Caenorhabditis elegans: one gene and its partner. The protein of the gene in region 2 interacts with the protein of the main gene of each other region in a biochemical or structural test. Each region holds a gene or a part of one and is shown on either strand. Other genes may lie near its edges.

The links.
Region 1: the proteins of kin-10 (region 2) and lov-1 form a complex in vitro, tested with the Caenorhabditis elegans proteins (one study listed by BioGRID).

Annotation. Positions count from the first base shown.
Region 1 is NC_003280.10:10,113,986-10,126,031, forward strand, and holds the start of lov-1 (Location of vulva defective 1), read right to left. Parts: upstream 7,841-12,046; coding exon 7,793-7,840; intron 7,745-7,792; coding exon 7,559-7,744; intron 7,511-7,558; coding exon 7,378-7,510; intron 7,117-7,377; coding exon 6,976-7,116; intron 6,931-6,975; coding exon 6,791-6,930; intron 6,746-6,790; coding exon 6,421-6,745; intron 6,193-6,420; coding exon 5,561-6,192; intron 5,510-5,560; coding exon 5,431-5,509; intron 5,277-5,430; coding exon 4,729-5,276; intron 4,684-4,728; coding exon 4,605-4,683; intron 4,556-4,604; coding exon 3,978-4,555; intron 3,929-3,977; coding exon 3,850-3,928; intron 3,291-3,849; coding exon 3,123-3,290; intron 3,080-3,122; coding exon 2,067-3,079; intron 2,022-2,066; coding exon 1,941-2,021; intron 1,892-1,940; coding exon 1,598-1,891; intron 1,549-1,597; coding exon 1,299-1,548; intron 1,252-1,298; coding exon 1,025-1,251; intron 975-1,024; coding exon 775-974; intron 726-774; coding exon 592-725; and 6 more. Other genes in the region: F27E5.7 (DUF2147 domain-containing protein), read left to right, coding at 8,893-9,018, 10,516-10,653, 10,762-10,905; putative G-protein coupled receptor F27E5.8, read right to left, coding at 11,913-12,046. UniProt on the Caenorhabditis elegans protein: Required for two aspects of male mating behavior: response to hermaphrodite contact and vulva location. Acts in the same pathway as pkd-2 and atp-2 in response behavior. May be required for ciliary targeting of pkd-2.
Region 2 is NC_003279.8:8,284,493-8,296,059, forward strand, and holds kin-10 (Casein kinase II subunit beta), read right to left. Parts: upstream 6,514-11,567; 5' UTR 6,426-6,513; intron 6,377-6,425; 5' UTR 6,323-6,376; coding exon 6,305-6,322; intron 6,148-6,304; coding exon 5,991-6,147; intron 5,941-5,990; coding exon 5,749-5,940; intron 5,582-5,748; coding exon 5,392-5,581; intron 4,860-5,391; coding exon 4,709-4,859; 3' UTR 4,469-4,708; downstream 1-4,468. Other genes in the region: phaf-1 (PHAF1 protein T01G9.2), read right to left, coding at 1,561-1,636, 2,101-2,162, 2,211-2,284, 2,330-2,442, 2,488-2,591, 2,788-2,962, 3,194-3,321, 3,372-3,512 and 1 more; npp-2 (Nuclear pore complex protein Nup85), read right to left, coding at 6,914-6,985, 7,035-7,665, 7,733-7,866, 8,091-8,420, 8,473-9,008, 9,055-9,148; Meiotic spindle formation protein mei-1, read left to right, coding at 10,390-10,566, 10,617-10,955, 11,002-11,567. UniProt on the Caenorhabditis elegans protein: Participates in Wnt signaling. Plays a complex role in regulating the basal catalytic activity of the alpha subunit.

The DNA of each region.
Region 1 (12,046 bases), on a different chromosome or scaffold from region 2:
TAAGGTAAGTTGCCAGTTGCTATAGCTCTAGCTGCTAGCGTGTTTTCCAGGGTATCTAGTGTAGATGCAAGTTGGTTGGCTAGATTTTTGGCCTGAATAGAATATGAATAATTCCAAACTCAAAAAGTTTTAAAAACTCACGATGTTCTTCTGGAACATTTTTGTGACGTAAGCAGCCCATTCTTCTGACGTCATTTCCTCCACGTACACAATATTGTCTGGATCACTTGGTAGCACGTTGTACAAGGAATCATAGTTATCTGTTGCATATTTCAAATTGGCAGCTAGATCAGAAGAAAGAGGATTGTCGAGAGCAATCTTCAACGCTGATGTTAAAGATCCCGCAATTGAAAGGAGAGAGTTGGATGTCTGAAAATTATTATTATGACATCTACCAAAGTTTAGTGTATGAATACATCATTAATCTCTGCATCTGTCATAGTCATTCCATTATTTGTAAGAAAATCTTGAGTATTGCTAAGAATCGTTTCAATTTGTTGCTGGGATTCTTGATTCATCAAACTTTGCGGCACAATATCTGGATATTTAAAATGATTTGTATGCATTTGTGTATTTATTTTTTTGAGTTACCAATTTTAGTTCCCGAAACATCGCCTTCCGTCGAAACTTGTCCATTCTGAATTACATATCCATTCGTTCCATTTCTAATAATCAACCCTCCATCGATTCTCATTTTCTGTGTGTCAGAGAATTCCATTAAAGTTCTCAAAATTAAAGTTCCTATACAAAATATCCATTCGAGACTATACTTACACCGTATGAGTTTGAGAACCAGATGTGTAAGTTCCGGCTGTTATCTGAATACCGTAACCTCCAAGCGCCAAAGAAACAATATTGTAGGTGGGAGAACTGATCACCAGAGTTGTCACAGAGTTTGACAAATAAAGGGCGGTGGAGTCTACGAAAAATGAGTAGCCGCTGACATCGATGGATGACGCTTTGGAGAAGAATAGCTGCAAGAAAAGTTATTTTGATATTAACAACTCATCAGCAAAAGTCTTACAGTTCCCGAAACGGTGACAAGTGTTTGTTCCTTAATCAATGATTGCAAATCATCTTTGGTGTACGAAGCCGTCGGTGAAAGAGTAGATATTGAGACAGTTTGAGATAAAGCAGAGACAGCTGGAATTCCAATGTCCTGCGGAGACAGCACCATTCGCATTGAATAACTTCCCGCGTTTGAGAACACAAGTGGAGAAGTAGTTTGATTGAATAAAGCAAGGTTGACGTCTGAAATTTTTAGCGTCATAACCAGACCACTCCCATTGCATACTTACTCTCAATAACTATCGGCATCTGAATCAACTTCTTAACCGTGCTCGCTGAGGATCCATCTGATGCCACAACCGTGAAGCTGTCAGCATTGTATGAGAAAATGGCATTATCTGTGTCTACTTCAACAAACTTTCCTGTTCCATTCGTGCAAGTTATTGTGTAAGTAACTCCACCATATGATGCAGTTACTACTAGTCCTCTAGATACAATATTTTGAGTAGAATGCAGTTTTATCATTGTTCCAGATTCAATCTGAATAAAAATTGAAAAATTTCATGTGCTCTACGATTTATAAATTTACCAATAATATGTATTGAACTTCTGAGACTGGGATATTGAACGAAAATGAAGTGTTCTTCTGACTTGTGGATCCTACTGTTGAATTGTCATAAGTGACATTCCAAGCAGTTACATACATATCATTATAACTATATTCCCCTGATTGAACATCTCCAACTCCACTCATTGTAGCCATTATATTTCCAGAAACCAGTGATCGTTTGTCATCTATTTTATCCTGCTCAACTTGCACAGTCCTTCCATTTGTTGCGAACATTCCTTGGATTCCGATGGCAGCTGCTAGCATAGTGTCCGCCTGAACAGTTTCACATAAACTACAATGTTCTATATTCAAAAAGTCTTACAGTAACGGTATCTCCATCAAGCTGTTTATAAGATGCCCGGGTATCTCCTGTAAGGTATATTGTAGATCCGTAAATGCTGAGCTGTAAGTTGAAAACAATTAACTCTCCCAACCATCATTTTCTTACCGTACACCTAGGCGATACCAATGTATATCCCGATGCAATAACATATCCAAAAATAACCGCGTAAGTTCCATCTTTTGATTTTGTACTTGATACTCCCAAGGTATAGACTGTACTTCCTTTGAGAGCAAGATCGAGAGAAGACAGTACGGAGTTCAAGGATTGTGCGGAAGTCATATTGACATTTGCTAGTTTAGTGATAACTTTTGCCATTTCGTCGGCCAATTCCGAATTTGTTGTTGCAATATTGTCTTGCAATGTTTTCAAAACATCAACACTTGACATATTTCCGACTCCAGGGATTTTGAGGGTATTTGAGAGCAAACTTTGAGCAACTTCCACTAGATCTGCGGCAGGTAGAGATGAGATTTGATTGAGAAGAGAGCTGCTTGTGTTTAGAGAGTTGTTGGATGCAGATCCATCCATTATCCCAGCCAGTTGGTTCATTACATCAGCTTTTTGAGCATCTATGATCGCTTGTTCAGCTGCAGAAATTGGAGAAACTGTTGCAAGAGAGCTGCGAGTTTTAGTAGTTCTTGTAGATGGTTGCGCGGTAGCAGAGAATGCACCATTTGCACCAGAGGAATCGGAAGATCCAGACGTATCGGAGCCAGATGAGCTCTTGGTTGAAACACCAGAAGATCCATTTGAATCTGATCCTGAGCCAGATGTACTACCACCGTCTCCTAAATGGGATCCTGGTGTGGTAGCTGTTCCAGATCCTGTACCATCTCCATTCAATGCCGTTGTTTTTCCAGAGTTTACCCCGTCCGAACCCGTCCCTGAAGACCCCCCTGACCCACTTCCAGAAGCGGTCGTTCCTGATCCACCAGCCCCCGATCCCGTTGATGATTGTCCACTTCCAGATCCAGAAGTGGTTGATCTGACTGCATCACCCGTGCTAAGAGTTGTCGCAGATCCTCCTGAACCTGTTCCACCAGTTCCCCCAGTAGCTCCAGTTCCACCGGTTTTGCCACCGGCATCATCCGACGAGCTGACAGTGGTTGGTGGGGTTTCTAAAAATTGAATTTTATGAAAAAAAAACAGTAATGCGCTTACCAGTAGTTGTAGTTGGAAGAACTACATTCATAGTAAAGATGTGACTGGCAGATTCTCCAGATGCACGATTGGTAACATTAATTAAGAATTCATAAGTTCCAGTTGCAGGTACAAAGCTGGTCATTGGGTTGAAAGATACGGAGGCACTATATGCACCATTTTTTCCAACTGTAATATAGTACATAAATGAAAATTGATAACGTTGCTAACTAGGGAGTGCTCTTTGTACTCCATGGAAATATGAGTCGGAAAACTACTTTTCGGGTAGTTTATGTCATTTTCTACACGATTCTGAAAGAAAATCCTGCCGGTTTTGGGTTTTAGTGTGAAAAGTTTGCGTTTGAAAATACCACCCTAAATTCAGTTGATTTAACACTACGCGACCCATATTTCATGTGCAACGGGAAAGCCAAGTACACTGAAAACTCACTTTCAAATTTTCAAAGCAAAGTCATAATTTCGGTGGTCCAGTGGATAACGGCGGGAGCGGCGCCAGTTTTCAGTGTACTTGGCTTTCCCGTTGCACATGAAATATGGGTCGCGTAGTGTTAAATCAACTGAATTTAGGGTGGTATTTTCAAACGCAAACTTTTCACACTAAAACCCAAAACCGGCAGGATTTTCTTTCAGAATCGTGTAGAAAATGATATCAACTACCGGAAAAGTAGTTTTCCGACTCATATTTCCATGGAGTACAAAAAGCACTCCCTAGTAGGCAAAATCTCACACTCTGTCAAGCAATTGCTTTCCTTCAGTAAAACAAATGGCTGAGAAGAATCGTTTCGACATTGACAGGTCATAGCAGTCTTAAAATATTAAGGTTTTTTTTAAGTAAGATTGATTTGAATATCTTACCGTTAAAGCTCCGGGCTCTTTGTTTGGAATTGGTGTAATATAAAATGGATTTTCAGAGTAATACACTGTCTCGTTCCATGTCAAATTTTCCAATACAAAGTCGTAAGGGGTTTCTGTACTTGCGTCTGGATCCACAGTTGTTGTTCTCATGCTATCAGATGCACTTGATGAATCGGATGGTGTTTGAGATAAACCAGATGAATCTGAAGTGGATGGAGTTGAGTTAGATGAGTCTATGGTGGTGGAATCTGAAGTTGTGCCAGAATCCGATGTTGATGTAGAACTGTCTTGTGAAGCATCAGTCGTGCTAGCTTCCAAAGTCGACGTAGATTCAATTCCTGAAGTTGTGGAAATGGCTGAACTTTCGGAAGAAGATCCAGTTGAAGTTGTACTGGTAACTTCGGATGTACTTGTTGAATCCGCAACAACATTCAATGTGAAAATGTGGCTGACCACTTGCATTGTCGTCAAATCCGTCATGTTGATTCGAAACTCATAGGTGCCAATGCCAACAAGAAATGTTTCAATTGGTTGAATTGGAATATTAGAAGAATAAGTTGCGTTTAGGACCGTGTTTGCTGGAAATTCGCTTTAATTCAATAATTTCAAAAAGTTTGTTAATCCTACAGTAGTTTAAGCAAGTGGATTCCTTAATTATAAGAAAAGGCTCAGTAGACACATTTCTGCATTCAAATGTTTGGCTTCTCTAAAATCATTCGTTTCATTTGGCTCAACGATTTATTAAACCCGCCTCAGTAGGAGTAATGGCATTAGTTGGTAAAGGTACAATGTTGATGCTGTCTTCATTGTGACGTGTCTCGTTCCATGACAATCCACTGTCCAAGATGAAATCGAACTGATCGACTGACAAAGTGGAAGTTGAATCAGCAGTGGTAGAACTCGGACTGGAAGAAGTTGTGGATGTGTCCGAGATGGTAGTTGTACTGGAATCAGTAGTACTTTCTTCGGAAGTTGTTGTGGATTCTTGTAAAGTAGTTGTGCTCCCAGCCGACGTTGTCGTAGAATCGCTTGAACGTGTGGATGACGGCTCTGTGACTGTGGATGTTGATAATGTGGAAGATGGAGTTGATGGTGTAGATGACGTAGAGCTTGCTACAGCAGATGTAGAAGATTCCGACTCTATGGTGGTGGAAGAATATTCCTGAATATAAACGTTCGCATACGTGTAGTAAACTTTTTTATCGTCGGTTGTCATAGTTGCTCTGAAGGTGTAGTTTCCAGGACCAACGAATGTGCTAGCAGGGTACGTCCCTCCGAGACGTGGCATTGATACACTTTCTGAATATATTGAAAAAATATGTGTAAAAAATCTAAATAACTATCGCCCGAAAAAGGTTTGCTTTTTTTCCGATTTGAAGTTTTTATAGAAACGTTTTCAGAATTAAAGATTTTGCCTGTCTCTAATTTATAATAAGTCTTTATAAACAATTACTCGTGAAACATGCTCCGTCTTTAGTGGTTGAAACATAATTAGAAGATGTAGGGCTTGTACATTCGATGGATGTTTGATACTGAAATACAGTGTTACATTTGAATAATGCAGTCTTCAATATTGTACTTACTCCAATGATTCCGAGGCCGGAATTAAGCGTTAGGTTCACACTTGTGGAATCATAGAACGTTGTAGTTGCCTTTTCTACAAAATAGAAGTCTGGATTAGTTCCGTCCGAGCTAGTAGTTGTCTCAGATTTTGTTGTTGTTGAACTTTGCTGAGTAGACGTGGATGATTGAGTAGAAGAAGCGGTGCTTGACACAGACGAAGAAGCCGTTGAACTTGGAGTGGAAGAAGAACTCGATGGCCCAGTAGTTGATGTTGAAGGAGCAGTTGTGCTGGTTGTTACTGTAGACGAAGGAGATGTCGATGTGGACTCAGTGCTTGTTGGGGTCGTTACAGTAGTCGAGGAGCTTGAACTAGATGTCACCGTAGAAGTCACAGGGGATGTTGACGGGGAAGTAGTTACAGTACTCGTCGATGGTTCGGTTGTTGACGTTGAAGCAGTCGAGGTGGTCAAAGTAGTGGTTGGTTCAGTTGTTGTAACAGTAGAAGATGTAGATGTAACTTCTGTTGTGGTTGTGGAAGTAGATGGTTCTTCGGTAGTAGTGGATGTCAACATAGTGGTGGTGAAAGTGGTAGACGTAGTGGTCTCGTCAAGGTAGGAGCAAATCGCATTATCCGGGAGAGACGACAAAGTTGCTGAAAATTTTCGTTAAGGATTTTCTGGATAACTAACAATGCACAACAAGGTGATCGGTAATAGTGACTGCTTTGTTTTACCCTGAGCAAACTGTAATTGTATAAAATCTGAAATATTGGCAATACAAACGGGTTTGAAGAAAATTATTAACAATTTTATTCCTGCCTCTCAATCATAACAGCAAATTCTGGTTTGCTTGTAATTATTATTGTGCGTCCGAAACTCACATGTGATTTCGGGTGTTGTAGTGGTTGGAATACTTGTACTCAGTGTGGTGGAGCTCGGCGAGCTTGTGATTGTGCTAGAACTCTGCTGAGTTGTGCTAGTTGATGATGTCGACGTGGATGCTGTGGAAGTGAACGTTGTTGACGTGGATTCGATGGTGGTGGATGTTGATGGAGTTGATGTGCTTGTGCTCATTGCGGTAGTCACCGTACTTGTACTTGTTGGGACGGTTGTTGTAGATGTCACGGTACTAGTCACGGTTGTGGTAGTTGGAGTTGTAGTCGAGGTTGAAGTTGACTCAATAGTGTAGTCGCAAGTATTATCACCCTGGAATAAAATGAAAGTAAACACTATCTGAGAAATCGTACTCACAGCGTCTCGTTTCATTCTTCTCAAAGTAGGTGATCCAGAAGTCCTCATGCTAAACTGTTTTGCCCTGACACCCTTAAGTACCTGCCCATCATAATACACTCCTTGACTATCACTGATAGCTGTGCTCTTTTCAGAACGATCTGAAATACTGTTTAGCCAATGTTCATGAGCAATTAAGAACTGACAAGGTCGCTTGCACATTCTTCTCGCATACTCTTCGTTGATCTCTCCGCTCTCACACTTCTCTCGGTAGCCCAGCAACGCCATCTCGTTTCCACCGACTTGGAGCCACCATAGGGAGCCATCACATCTGTCGATACCGTCATCTGAGAAAGAGTTTCTATTAAAATGTTAGAAACACATAGCACTACATATGCAAATAACGTTTCACCAGATTCAGAATGCGCAATTCATGCCTATCTCATAGCCTACCTATGTGTCTACCTGAGTATCTACTTGAGTACCTTGCAAAGAAGATTAATCGGCACAAACCAAGTCAAGACTTTGTTGGCATAGGTCTTCCAGGTGAGTAACGCCGACATTATACATAGGTACGCACAAAACCTTCCCCAAATAATAATCCTTACCATAACAAACTTCATATTTCGCCTCCACAGCAATACTGATCTCATCGTCATCATTCACTTCATTCAAAGTAATCCAAGTTGAGTTCAAAAAGAGTCCGACAAGCCTGGTCTCTGTTTGGATGCAGTTGTGAATCTGAATAGGAACAACAAGGTTTTACAACTAAAAAAATACACGACTAACCAATTCCAAACTTGAAACTTCCGTAACCTTGTTCTCAACTGAAAGTCTATTCAATCCGCAGCTCAATTTGATTTTAACGACTCCTTGTGAATTCCTTGGAACTCCTCCAATTGTTGTGTCATCGTTGTCTAATCGAAAAGTTGCGATCCCGTCAAGAAGTTGGTAATGCAATCCATCAATTTGTATCTTAAAAGTAGTTTTATTCAGCTTTTCCTTCTGAGATTTTTCACTCACCGCCGATATTGCCAGTAGCAATAGAACAAAGAAGTTTGACTTCTTCATCCAATGAGCTGGAAGGTTATCTTGTAGAAGTTTTGTAAAAATTCGCCTGAAAACAAAAATGAATTCAGAGCAGAAAAGACAACAACTGAAAAATGAAGTTGTCGAAAAGCGAAAAGGCGGGCTGAATCGAAGGACCATCGCTGGGATACGTTAACGGCCCACAATTTCCATGGAAATTTTGAAGTTTTTGAAAAACTGACGAGGATTTAGAAATTGGGAAAGAAAGCTGTATTGTAAAGAAATTTATTAATGAAATTTGAATAATAAATTGAAATAAAAATTTTTGAATAAAAAAATTCTTCCAAACCAAACACCCAATTTTTTAAACTTTACAAATTTACTTATTAATGTCTGGATAAAAATATAACCACACAAAATCGGTACTCACCGTTCAAAATTTGACTGAAATTCCAGTTTTAGTTTAGCTCCCAATTAATATATTTTTCAATTTCCAAAAAAATTATTTTCTTCCAAACCAAACACCCAATTTTTTTTAAAACTACAGATTTATTAATTGATAGCTGAATATTATAAACATAAAAAATCGACACTCGCTGTTCAAAATTTTTACTGAAAATCCAGTTTCAGTGTAGCTCCCAATTAATATTACTATTTCAAAACGAAACTTTGGCACAATGATGAGAACAGTGGGATTTTTTTCAACTTTGCACAATTCAGATAGAAATAACAATAATTTCGTCTGACAATTTTACAGTATTCGATTGTTTCCCATTTCCTTGTTAGTTCAAAGTCTATAGATTGTGATTATGAATGACTCAATGAAATGTTCAAATCAAGTTGGTATCCGATAATTGTGTGTTTGATGAACGGAATATGCCGATAAAGAGATAATAAAATACAAAAAATATCTCTCTATCTCGTCACTTTATGTTCTCCTCCCTTATTCTTTTTCGTGATGTTAAGATATTTTTAGACAGTATTACGCATTACACCCCTCTATCATTTGTCTTTTTCTTTTTCTCCTCTTTTATCACTTATTCTTCGAATTCTCTCACACAATTTGACATTTGACAAGTCTCGACATTCTGAAAATGAGTCGAATCTCTCGCATTTCTATATTATTTATTTCTACTTTTGCTAGTCTTGTTGGCTTTTCAATACCATTTTCCGATTTTCGACTACCAGAAAATACAGTTGTGTGCAGTATTTTACAGGATGTAAGTTTATCCCAATTCAAAAAATTCCTTTTGTCAAAAAAAACAAAATTATTAAAACTAGACATTATACAGTGTGAGAAAGTTCTATAGGACCCCCCTCATTTTTGACGTTTCACCTATATTGAAAATTTTTTTTGAAAAATTTTTTCCGTAGATTGATTCAAAATGTCAAAATATGTGGACACAAAAATTTTCAGACTTGTACCTCTAAAACTGGCTGCGTACGGAAAAAAGTTGGAAAATCAGGTGTGCAACTTCTATAGGACCCCCTCATATTTTTGACGATTTCACCGGAAAAAAATAGTTTTTGAAGTTAATATCACGTAAATAGTTATGAAAATGAGAATAAACACAGTTTCAAGCAATTTCATATTGGCACTTGGTGGTTGACCCACAACTGTCCTCTAACAGTCCTGTAACAGAAGTTTCCACGTGTCATCTGCCCTATCACTACCAAACTTTACAAAATGATACATGACACTGTTCTAACAACATCCCTAAGTTTTTGGAAAAATCCGAAAAGTTTGAGCCCCGCTGCACCGCTGAAACCGTACATGGGCCTCATTTTTCAGGCCGTTTCTCCGTTTCAGTGTGTATAACTCGGGTCACGGTGAACCCCCGACTTTGAAAACTGTTCAATAAACTCGTATGAACATTACGCTAGCATCCACAAAAAAATGGTCACGATTTCGTGGTTGCAATGTTCTAAAAATTTACTTTTACCCTGAGTCTATGAAATTATGCATAATAACATCATTATTAGTACAGAAAACTTGCTCTATTGACAATTTTATTCTGGTTCAACTCAGAGGCTGGTAAATCCTTATTGCTAATCACAGATACACTCACAATGATTGTGAGAGTTCATTGAACAATTTTCAATGTCGGGGGTTCACCGGGACCCGAGTTATACACACTGAAACGGAGAAACGGCCTGAAAAATGAGGCCCATGTACGGTTTCAGCGGTGCAGCGGGGCTCAAACTTTTCGGATTTTTCCAAAAACTTAGGGATGTTGTTAGAACAGTGTCATGTATCATTTTGTAAAGTTTGGTAGTGATAGGGCAGATGACACGTGGAAACTTCTGTTACAGGACTGTTAGAGGACAGTTGTGGGTCAACCACCAAGTGCCAATATGAAATTGCTTGAAACTGTGTTTATTCTCATTTTCATAACTATTTACGTGATATTAACTTCAAAAACTATTTTTTTCCGGTGAAATCGTCAAAAATATGAGGGGGTCCTATAGAAGTTGCACACCTGATTTTCCAACTTTTTTCCGTACGCAGCCAGTTTTAGAGGTACAAGTCTGAAAATTTTTGTGTCCACATATTTTGACATTTTGAATCAATCTACGGAAAAAATTTTTCAAAAAAAATTTTCAATATAGGTGAAACGTCAAAAATGAGGGGGGTCCTATAGAACTTTCTCACACTGTATAAGTGAATCTTTGTAAGAAAGCTCTGAATTTAATACAAATAAATGCGCATATTTTAGACTAAATGTGAATGGAAGCAAAACTGGAAGAATGCAGAGGGTGTGAGAAGAGAGCTCGACGCAGGAAAACCACCAATTCAGTTATTCTACTTTTGTAAGGAGAATCGCACTGAAACCTGTGGAATTTGGTTAGACGAGGTACTTTACACACACGCAATGGAGGCTAACATAATTTTTTGTCATAAACTTTGAATGATTTTGAAGTCAAACACTTTGGATCTTAAATTAATTGTTGTCCATTTCCAGAATGAGAAACCAATCGAGGATGCTCCAACAACTGACCGATTATCTGGCGAAGCTTTCATAATCGAAAAAATGGGTCTTCATGTTCTTGGAGACTATATGAAATTTCCTGAGGAAAAGGGAGATAAAAAGCTGATAATTGAATAACTTTTGTTGTCTTTTGAATATTCTCATCATTTGTATGTATATAAATAGCCTATTTCAATTCCATTCTCTTTTTTTGACTGTGGTGGTCAATGAAATGACCGACCGTAATAAAATGCTTTTTGTTGCCTTGAAGTTTGATGTTCGATTGAAAAAACGATAAAATTGGATGGAATTGGGTCTATGGGAGGTATGTGTGGAGAATAAGGAAGTCGGACATTAAACATGTATAAAATTAGAATTTTATAAGAAATTCAAACATTTTGAAAAAAAGTTTTCTACAAGGAAATAACTCGGGGAATTTTTCGAATTTTTATGGCATTTTCCAGAACTTTTTTGTAGCGTTTCTTCCTGATCAAAAGTTGATTTTTCGTTGATTATCTATTTTTCTGATTCATAGTAAAAATATGCAAAGTTATGTTTTGGCATGGTTTTGATAATTGATAATTGATAACATAGCCAGTCTGAAACCGGGTCCAAAATATTTCAGATCAGTTCCAGCGCCCTCATCGGTTCACTATCCGTACGTTCTCGTAATAACCAACAAGTAGTAGGATCTCCAATGACAGTTGTAATATTTGTTTGAGGTCGTTGTGTAAAACAGTCACATCTTCAAAGATCGTTTGATTTTCGATTGAGAAAATACATGACTGAAGGGGGAAGATAAATGACATCTTGCAAGAGGACAAAAAAGATCATGATATGATAAAACAGTTGATAATGACTTGTAAACTGAAAGTGTTGGGACATTGTGTACCTTGTGAGGCATGTATGTACTTCCTAGTTTAGTTTTAGAATCAGAACACAGAGAAGAATCAAAAATATTTTCTCTTAATTTTGTAAATATTCTTACTGAACAAATCCGTTAAAAACAAATTTAAAAATAAAAATTATTTGGCGTTTACTTTGGCAGTAGGCGTAGGCACAATGAATGCTGAGGCGCAACCATTTTTGTGCCTACATAGACGCCTTAATCCAAACTATTCTCAAAAAACAAAAATATAAATCAACTAAGTATTCCACTGTCTACTCAATTCTTGAAAATGAAATTCGGTTTGTGTTCGAATTGGAGCAGTTGACATCTCGAAGCCTCCGATTTCATTCAAATTCGATGGCCGCACCGCATAACTGTTCCATCCAATAA
Region 2 (11,567 bases):
CAGGAGCCTTAATCAGCAGCATAATAGTAGTTTTCAAGAGGTAAGACACCTCTTCTCGGCCGTAAATCCGTCGGCAAAGAAGTAATAAATCGGCGAGGCTGTTGTCTTTACGCCCTGGTTCTCTGTGGGGGTCAACTCATTTGTCAAATGCACACCAAGACAAATGCATAATTGAGAAGGTTTCGAGAAGGAGAGTTGACTTTTTCGTTTAAAAAAACTCCGCGGGAAAATCTCCGTAGCCACAAAATTTTGACGTTTATGAATTGAAAATTGGTTGTTCGACAGGGACTCGTTAATTTATGAGTTTATGAGCCATTCGAATAATAAATTGATGTGCGTATGTATGTGCACACGCGCGCGAATTCGTGGATGTAGATTGCACAATCTGTTATGACACGTCGTCTCATCCGTTAGATTCCCAAGTGACACCCAAAACAATTGGAGTAAGCCAATGCCAATTAAGTTGGATAGATGACCACGAAGAACAAGACATAACTATGAAAAATGACGGATCGGTGTTCGTCGCACAAGTACACATGTAAACATCCGTCTCTTTCGATAATTACCACTATTCTATGCTTTTGAACAGTCAATAAAATTGTATACTTTCAGTTTGAGTATACAATTTTGTGATCGAATTTCTCTACGATTCAATAAACAAAAGCATCAATCTTCTGGAAGTCAACCAAAGCTTCTTGGATCAAAAAGAAGTAGTCTTGTTGAAACTACAAAAGCTAATTTCCAAGACTTGCCATCGTATGTTCGCGCGTGGTTTTAAATTAATTGACATCTTTCTTGTATAAATATTCTTTATATGGCAGCACATCTGCCTCATATTCAAAATTCCGGGGGAATTTGTTAATGAAGATTTAATATATCGACGACAAATTCAAAACCCAAAACCTTTGGTATAGATCCATTGTGGGTAGAAGCCTACTGTTGGTGTCCATAAACGGCGAATCACCTGTGTAAGGATCGTGAGCGTCGGTAAAAGTTTTCTATGAGCTAAAAAGACTACAATTTCAGGAAACCATGACGCAGGAAATTTTCAATCATACAAAAGCTTTCATCATTGACCATAGCTGTGTTTTCTTTGAAATTCTGATCCATCTTCCGACAAAAAATGAATTGACACCTTCTTTGTCCTCTCATTCAGTTTCTTTACTGCTTGATGAAATAAACTGTGCGGTGTCAAAAAACGAAGGTCATTAGTGTGTAGTAGTAATTCAGTCGTCTTCTTGTTAAATGTAGCAGATGAAAATTCGTACAAGTGTCACAAACGAAGAGTCTCTCTCTCTCTCTCTCTCTCTCTACAGAGTCGTAAATCTTTCCGGACGCCATGGACATGCAAGAGGGAGCCACCACTACGATTACCCAGATTATTATCATATGCGGAAGAAAGATTTGTCTACAATAGCCATTGCGTGTGCATTAGCGATCCCTTTCCCGGATATGTTCAATTACAAGGGATTGGAACATTAACTTCGACTCATTGACAGACAAAATATAGTACCCAATAGCAAGAATTGCTACAGTAATCTAAATCCCTAAAAACCTTACCAATCCCATTACAAAGTAGTTGAAGAAGAAATTTGGTGGTCCATAGAGTGTCTCCTTGTGAAGTCCACGATGAATTCTGGAAATTTTCAATATTCAGATGAAGCGGAAATTTTGATAAAGCTAGAAACTGTTAATGGTTAAATTTTAAAAACTTCAGTTTTCGAGAAATTTTAGGCGTTCCTGAATTTTTAAATATTTTTTTAATGAAATTTTCTGAAATCTTTTAACTTTTTTTTTCAAAATTTATCCTTTTTAAATATTAGTTGGAAAGTTGTTAAATAAATTTCAGGCATTTTGAAAAAAAAGAACTTTTTTCACAATTTTTTAATTTATTCATTGGATATTGCTGAATATCAACAAAATGCTATATGAATTATTTTTAATTGATATAAAACGCTTACATTGAAACCCTTCAACTTTTTTTAAGAAAATTTTTCTTCAAAAATTGTTTAAATTTTCAGTGGAAAATTCAACATCTATTGAAAATAAATCTAAATTTGTGAGAAAAGAATTTGAATTTTCAAGAGAACGAGAACGTACTTCATCTTGTCATCGGACTTGTAGAAGACCTTTGTCGGGGCTCCAAGAATCGATTGCACATCCTAAAATTTAAATTTTTAGAACAAATTTTTTTGATTGAGAAAACCAACCGAAACAGAGTCTCCAAAATAGATTTGTCGTGTGTACGTGGATACATCATACTCTCCATCGACAATTCTTCCGTCTGCAAATATTCACTTTTTTTAATAATTTCAAAAAATTCCAGTACTTTGAGTATCAAATTGAATATCAATTCCAACAATATTCCCATTTTCCCAAATTGCTTCGACTTTTCTCGTCCGATTTTGACCACAATAACACGAGAATGGAGTATCCACGGATCTTCAAATTTTGAGAAATAAATAGAAATAAATAATAAATTCTCACTCTGGCTCAGATGGATTTGGTCCACGATAAATGGACATCTTGGTAAGTTTTGGTTGAGAGTTGGCATCATATTTCAGCGAACGAAGATTTCCACCAAATCCAGGCTGAAATTGAAGAATGTTTGAAATTTCGGTTTTTGGGAGATATAAAAAACTTTTTGGAAATTAAAGGTGAAGTAGCGGCTGTAGGTTAGAAAAAACTCTTTTAATTTTTTACTATATTCGGTATCGTATTTTTGATTCGAAAAAACCCACAGACGGTACTCCAACTTTAATACCCAAAAAGATCAAACTACAGTACCCTGACTTCCAAATTCGAATTTTCTCCTCCATATGGGAAACAGAAAGATAATCCCGGCCAACTTTGCACATAGATATTGTGCTTATCATCATATGATCCTGGATGTGTCGATCCAAAAAATTCGTTGACCCGATCCAACGTCGCCATGTTATTTGGATCAGAGAAGATTGTATCGCTGAAAATTTTTATGAAGAAATTGTATGACTATCTTGGCAATTGAAATTGATTTTTTTTCTTTGATAGTTTCACAATGACCCGAAACGACCGAATTCAACAGAGAGAATTTTCAATTTTCAGATTTTATGCAAGGCTGAAATTTTTCGAATTTTCAAAACGCCATAATTTGTTTTAAATTCAATAGTTTTAAACGAGCTTCTGTAGTTTTTTTTTTTTGATGGTATCATACTTATAAGTAAGTGTAATCATTGAAAGATTATCCACTTCAATTAGCTTGATAAGCTGTGAAAGGCCATCAAAATAGAGACGAATTCCTGTAGAACCGATATAGATGATGATATCCTGGTAGAATGGATCCTGAATTTAATTTAACTTTATTTAAAAGTATAATTAGTTAATTTCTATACCTTTTTACTGTACTTCAATTCGACTTTTGTAAGCATTCTTGGATGTTGCTGAATCATTGCAATACATTGATTGATTGGCATACCAAGCACAAATTCGAATTGTGAACTTTTTAGACCAACATCTGGTACAACCTTGAATTTCTTTGGAAAATATTTATTATTGATTTTTTGACTTTAAAACAAACCGTGAAGCTCAGATCTTCTTCAGTTGATGGTTTCTTTGTGACTTGCTGTTTTCCATTCATTTTCGATGATTCAAAGCTGTAAAAGCTTTTATTTAATTTTTGAAGAGTTGGAGAAAAAACAAAGAAGAATTTTTAAACTATGATTCACAAGAAAAATATATATTAAAATTGAGAACTGATATTTACTTGGTATATTCTTTTCTAAATTTTTTTTCCGCCAATAGTACGGTACCCGGTCTGGGCGCGACGATTGTTTTCTGAAAACAAATGGGTCTGCGCCTTTAAGAAGTACTGTTATTTTAAACGTTCATTGCTACTGAATTTTTATCGACTTTTCATACTTTTTCCCACGATTTGTAAAAATTTTGTGTCGTTTTCTTTTATTATTTTTTTTAACAAATACATTTTTACCGAAAAACACTGAAAATCGATAAAAATTTTGCAGCAACGATAGTTTGATATTACAGTACTCTATAAAGGTACACGTCCGTTTTTATTTTACAAAAAAGGCGTATCGAGACCGGGGTATCGCCTTTTCCTCGCAAAATTTCACGTTTATGCAATATAATTTAAAAATATATTGGAATTAATGTGAAAAGCTGTTCAAAAGTTTTTTCTTCAGGTAAAATATGGAGCGTTTTCAAAAATTGTAATTTTGAAATATTTCAAAATAAGCAGAAATCAATGTGCTAATCGTTAACCAAATCAACTGGAGATATTAAAACCGTTCAAATAGTAAATAAAAAAGAAAAGAAACACATGACGTCGATGGCAGAATCGAAGGCTGTGACTGAGAGACTGCAGTAGAGCGCACTTTCCCGCCCAGCTGTTTCCGCGTGACGAAGACAGGCACAAATAAATAACGTTGCACTTTTTACACAGAAAATTAGGAACACTCTTTTTGAGATGTATGGGATCTACCGTTTCATTCATTTCTTAAATTCGCATAATGTTGGAATAGAACAGATTTAGAAAAGAAGAGAAACACGCATGGAAGAACCGCCGGATTCTTGAGTTTTGTCGGAAAAGAAAATTTTGGGGAGAAGAAAAAACGAAACAATGAAGAAAATAAGGATGTTGTGTTGAGAGGGGGGACATTCTGAATGGAAACTGGAAAGAAGAAATCAAAACAAAAATAAGGAAGAAAGTGGCTCAGAGACCATAATTATTGAATTGTCCTCCAGATTGTTGCCCGGCTGGAGTCGTGTTGTTTTGTGCTGCGGCAACGTTATTCGCCGTATTTCCGCCGCTGTTTCCCTCCTGTCCTCCATAAGCAACAGGATGAATTTTGAAACCGTAGAGTCTGAAAATTTTGATATTTAAAAATTTACACATAACATAATTATTATTGTACTAAGTTCTGCTAAATTTTTAAAGTGGATAAAATATTATTGTTTGATCTTCTAATTTCTAAAATTATTTCGAATCTAATTTAGTACAGCCAACTTATTTCGGCAATAGAGTAAATCTTCTAATTTCAGTCTACCAAGTCAACTTTTTGAATTAAAAATGATTTTAGAAATGTGTCAAAATATTTTATTGATTCGAAATTGCAACTTATTCTTGTTGAAATATTTGAAAAAAGATCTCAAATAGAGCCTGAAAGTTGCCGAATGCCGAAAAAATAACCTTCAGACACTAGTCGTTTTGAATTTTCCAACATTATTAAGTTGTGTTTTCGAATCAAGCAAATATTTTACTTCATTTTTTATTCAAAAAGTTTAATTGGTATACTGAAATGAAAAGATTTACTCGATTGCCGAGATTTTAAAGATTTTTTAAATTAGAATTTCGGATTTTCAAATATTTAGCTTAATATATATCCTCTGACATACTTTGGAACGAATTGAGTGACTGGTCTGCGTGGACGCAGATCAGGATGAACAAAGAAGAGCATATGTGGGAATCCGGTGCCAAAATAGCTTCCATCAGTATGTTGATGACGTGATGATCGTGGAACGAAAACATCATTGCAACGTGGACAGTACAATTTCACCATAGCCTCGCCAGGAACATCAGACAATCCTGGAAAAATTGGAATTTTACAGAAATTTTAGTGTAAAAACAAATATTTGTTTTAAATTTTATTGGAAATGCACTTTTAAATTAGGAAAATTTAGTACTTTATAGTTTCACTTTTCTCAAAAAAAATTATCCGCAACCAATGAAGTAGCGATTTTTTTATAACTCACCAATTGGAAGCATTGGCTGATTTTCACAGTAGACACGTGGGCAAACTCCAAAGTCATGATCACGCCACTTTTCGACCATCTGTGAGATTCCTCTATTCGTAAGAATATATCTAGCGTGAATGAGTCCATAAAGCATTTCAGCGGCTTGTTCAACAAGATCAGTGTTCGTTGCGTTATCCTCTATGTCATCTTCTAGAAAAAGGTTACATTGCGGGGGCACATGAAGTCAGCAAAAATATCACCTGGTTCTAAGTCAAGAATCATGTCAAGAGCCTGTCGATACTTGGGCACTTGCTCATTGAGACCTGTCAAATTGAACCGATCCTGAATATATTCCTCGTCGACTTCACAGAAAAACTCATTTCCACGAAGGCCACAGAACCATGTGATCCATGATACCTGAACAAAAAAAAAGATTCGAAACTAAAAATAAATTTCACCAATCGACCATAAAACTTGTTATTAAATTCATAGTTTAAAATATAAATCATTAAAAAAAACGGCTATTTAGATTTTTCTGATTGTTTTCCGCAGAAAATAGAAATATAATACAAACCTCCTCCGAACTACTCATGACTTCTGATCCAGACAAACTAGCGCTTTGTTCTGACTGCGAACCAGACTCTGCCTGTAATCAAAAGAAATTTTTTTTTGATAATATTTTAATGATAACTCACCGAAGTGGAATCGAGTTGGCGCCAGCGAGCAGAAGCCGTGGCGTTCACGTCGATGACTGGCCGAGTTGCGCGCAAAGCACACAACTGCCTGAAATTATGGGTACAGGTTGGGTGAAATGGTTCAGAATTATTGAAAAAAGCAGAAGAAAATCAATAGATCACAGTCATGTGCGCCCACATAAATTCATAAACTCCAGCAGTTTTCTGTCGAAACAGAAAAAAGAGGACGAGGGAGCTGACGAGGCCTTGTGGACGTGCAATGGGGCACGGTTGCATAGCACATAGGTCACTATCGATCTCTGGGGAAAACTCGAAAAGAAGGTAGGTTGGCCTCGAAATTCAACGAGTTTGTGTGGAAAACCAAGTAATAGTAAAAAAATTAAGAGATGTGATCCTTATTCACATACAAAAAATTAAATTTTCTGAGATCCCAGAACAAAAAAGAACATCGGCAAATGTAAATAAAATAAAATTAATTCATAAATTATTCAAGAGCACGCAATTCCTTTCGCAATCGAGTCTGTCAACTTGAGCATTACCATCTTTTTGAGCACTTTCACCTGTAACAATTTATAATTATATGATCATAAAAATGTCTATAAAACTTACCTTTTTCATATAATTATCATTCAAATCTCGATGTTTATCAAGCGTAAACGTTGACAAAAAGGTTGAGAGCTCATAGAGAATCTCCTTGGAAAATCGGATTCCAGCACGCCCATCCTCTTTGATAATCGTGATTAAATAATCGAAGAGATCATAGTAATACTGAGTTGGAACATCAGGCATCATAATAAGCGGTATCAGATGTTGAACACAGTCCAGTACATCACCACAGTGCATCATCTTCACAAATCGTTGATAAGAGTAGAGGAAGGTAAGAGATGGAAGTGAGAGTACAGAATGATTGGTTATTGAAGATAAAACTCTTAATGCAGCCAATTCATCCTTCGAACTTGAACCAACAATTCGAGATACTGTCCAGTCAATTGTCTTTTTGGATCCAGTTTTCAACGCCCAAGCGAGTGTTGAACTCCAATGTCCTTGCTTCAGATACCGGAAAGTCATTGTATTTGTCACACAACTTTTCGCGTCTTCCAGTCGATGCTCTTCACATATTTCCAGCAACTGCTCAGCCATCTCATCATCCTCAATGTGAAGCCCTTCGATGTGTGTTTCGAGACGTAGAAGTCCTTCGGTACCACACGCAATAAGATATCCGGCTCCGATTTCCCACAGACTATAAAAAATTTGTGAAGTTATATTTTAAAATGTTTTTTCAGTAATTAGAAATTTCAAAAACTAACGGAGAATGAGAGATAAGAACACTGGCGTAGTCCAACATGTGCATTTTCCTCATCACTTCAAACTCGGGATCCAATGTGGATTTGTGAATAAGATCAACCAGGTGAACTGCGAGCCAGGGATTCGAGGCAATCAACTGAAATTTTATTCAGTAAAATTAATTAATTCTTATTTAAAACAATCTAGAATTTATTTTGAAGAAAATTGTTAAATATTCTTGAACATTATTTTGATTTTTTTTTATTGGGATAAAATTGAATGAAATGTTCTGTCGCCGTTTAATTAATCGTGAAAGAAATAGTGAGCCTATTTTCAAGAGATATTTATATTTAATTTAATTTCTTGAATAAAAACAAGAACCTGTTGAAAGTTAATATCATCCTTCGAAATAAGACACCAGAATACATCATTTTCCTTTGCACCCTCCTCTTCCTCTTCTCCAACGAATAGTGTTCTACACTCATCAGCTAGCTCAATGAGCTCGACATGTCCGGCGAATGGATTCTTGACAAGCACAAAGAATGGCAGAAAATGCCACCACGTGTCGAAAATCCGTGAAGCCATAGATACGAGGTATCGTTCCTCACCGAGTAGGAGCTTCGTAAGATATTTGAAATTTTCGTTGCTCCCGTACTTCCCACTTGTCAAATTTTCACGCATGATATCCTTCCATTCATTTACTGTGTTAGCCTGAAATAAGAATATTACGAAGTTTAAGAATTATTATATAAATGGGTCTTACTAATGCTTCGTCGACTAAGTTTTCGGGATTGAAGAATGTGAGAGCCTCAATGAATGCATCACATTCTGATCCGCCTCCATGTAGCTCCAACAGTTCAACACAATCGCTGAAATTGCAACTAAGCAAGCTGACTGCTACTCCCTTCCAATATTCTTCTGGAATCGTCTTCCCCGGATGCAGATATTCCACAGCTGATTCCATGGCTCCTCTAGAAAACGTGAAGCTCTGATTGGCCCATGAAATAAGATCCGCACATATCGAGCTATCACCTCTTCCAAACCATAATTTCTCGTAAAGTGACCACAAAGCAAAGTCTGTCATGAAGTCGGAACTGCTGTGAGACACGGCGGCATTGTAGAGAACTGAACGATAAGCTCGAGAGAATGTGCAGCAAGTAGGCGTGTCTAGAGGTGCATCAGGTGAGGAGCCTTTTTGACATTTATCAAATACAGAATACATTTCGATAACAAGTCGTCTGAGATTTGGTGTCGCAAGAATTTGTCGATTTTGTGAAACTTTCTCGACCAAGACTGTTTCTGAAAAATCTCTTATGTTGGAAACTGAAGAAGATGCAATTTTTACCTTTATTTGAAAATCCTTTTTTATCTGTTAGGAAGGCGAAGACCGTGGAGGAGTCGCTGACAGCTATCCCGAATTCTCGAGCGACATCCGTCATCTGAAAGAGATACTAATGTCATGTGAAGTGGTATTAAAAATATAGTAAGCACGGTAGAAACATTAACTTATAAAATTGAGATTTCTGATAAATAAAATTTTTCCGGGAGTTCTGTAAAACTTCTTACGGTTTTAACTTGATAATTCCATAGGGTTTAAAATTTCCTTTTGTTTCTTGAGTTTCTTCTCGGAATTTGAACAAAAATAACGCGTTTAATCTCGAATCAGTACAATGATGGACTACACGGCAGTTTTAAAAAACCAATTAATAATAATAATCCTAAAAAATGAGAAGAATATTTAAGAAAATGTAAAAGTTTTCCGCGGAATTCCGCTAAAATTCGAAAATTGAAAGTGTTCAAATTGCAAGCGATTGTGCATTCAGACGTGACAGTGTCTGGGGTGTATTGCGTACTCGACATTTTAACTGACGACACTTGTACTTTTGCGCCATACTTCCGGAGCTCCAGCTCCGCGGAGCCCTGAGCAATTATTTTTTTACTTTTTATGAAAAGCTTTCTATAGATATCTTTTAAGAAGTTACACTATAATTGTGCAAATCAAACTGGCTCCGGACAACACAAATTTCGTCTATACCTTTATGATCTTTTTTTGTTAAACAAGTGAAACAATTATTTCCTTTTCAAACTGCTCTTGTTTCTTCTCTTTATTAATCAATTTTTTTTTTTTTGCTTTGTGTAAATTAATTGTTTGTCGCGGATGAGCTAATTCTGAGGTTTGACCAGCAGAAATCTGTTTTCTGAAAAATCAATAACTCGCCGCTTAATTTTGGTTTTATTCAAGTGATATGCAATTAGAAGGTTCTAATCATTTATATCTCGCTGAAAGATCTCAGATTTCAAGCCTTTTGCTAAGGATTTAATTCCTAAAACTTTTTTTGACCTATCATTTTTTGTGTGATCTACCGCTGTAAATACTTGTTGTTTTGCGGCTAAACTCTTTCAATGTTTCCAACAAGTGAGCCAATATCAAGTAAAAAAAGAAAAATCGTTTTCTATTCAACCATTTTATTCTGTAAATAATATTAAATTCATCTTCACGGTACAATCTTCTTCTCCCATCTAATAAAGTCCACGCACACTCCGTTCCGTCGTTTCCCTATTCGTTATCATTCATCATCTTGCCATTTTCTTCTCCGCCAAATCCCATTGTCTTATACTAAATTTCATCCTCTCGTCTGTAGAAGTGTATATTATTGAAAAATTAAAGTATATTTTCAGGATGAATGGGGATGTGCAGTCAGTCATTCGCGGATATCTGGAGCGAGCCCAAGTCGCGAAAACAATGTCCGATGCCGGACGATGGAATGAGGCTGGTGATCTTCTTCGTCAGCTCATGACAGATGTCAAAAGCTGTAAAATTTCGGCAAGCAACAGAGACGAGCATGACGCAAGAAATGTACGTAATATAAATCTTTTAAAAGCTTGTTGAATTATTTGAAATTTCAGACATTCCTACGAGCCCTAGAGGCTAATTTGAAGCTTGTCCAACAAAATGTGCGCGATGAAGATGACCTACACGAGGCGATGACGCGACAAAGTGGAAGTCCAGAGCCACCTGCAGACCCAGATGTTTGGTCCAAACCATCGCCACCGTTACCATCCTCATCGAAATTTGGAGCAACAAAGAAAGGAGTTGGAGCAGCAGGTCCACGTCCCAGAGAAATATCAAAGTCAACGTCGTCGATGAGCACGAATCCGGCTGATGTGAAGCCTGCGAATCCAACACAAGGAATACTGCCTCAAAATAGTGCTGGAGATTCATTCGATGCATCGGCTTATGATGCGGTAAGTTATTATGTTTTCCAGAAACAAAAATCAGAAATCTTTTCAGTACATTGTTCAAGCGGTGCGTGGTACAATGGCTACAAATACGGAAAATACAATGTCTTTAGATGATATAATCGGAATGCACGACGTGAAGCAAGTTCTGCACGAAGCCGTCACTCTTCCACTCTTGGTGCCAGAATTCTTCCAGGGTCTCCGTTCACCATGGAAAGCAATGGTTCTCGCTGGACCACCTGGAACTGGAAAGACTCTTATCGCACGTGCGATTGCTTCAGAGTCTAGTTCAACTTTTTTTACCGTTTCCTCGACTGATCTGTCCAGCAAGTGGCGTGGTGATTCCGAGAAGATTGTTCGTCTGTTATTCGAACTTGCACGGTTCTATGCTCCATCCATAATCTTCATCGATGAGATTGACACACTTGGTGGACAACGTGGAAATTCTGGAGAACACGAAGCGAGTCGGCGTGTTAAATCCGAGTTTCTGGTACAAATGGACGGGTCACAGAATAAATTCGATTCGCGACGTGTATTCGTGCTGGCCGCCACAAATATTCCATGGGAGCTCGATGAGGCACTCCGAAGACGTTTCGAAAAGCGAATCTTCATTCCACT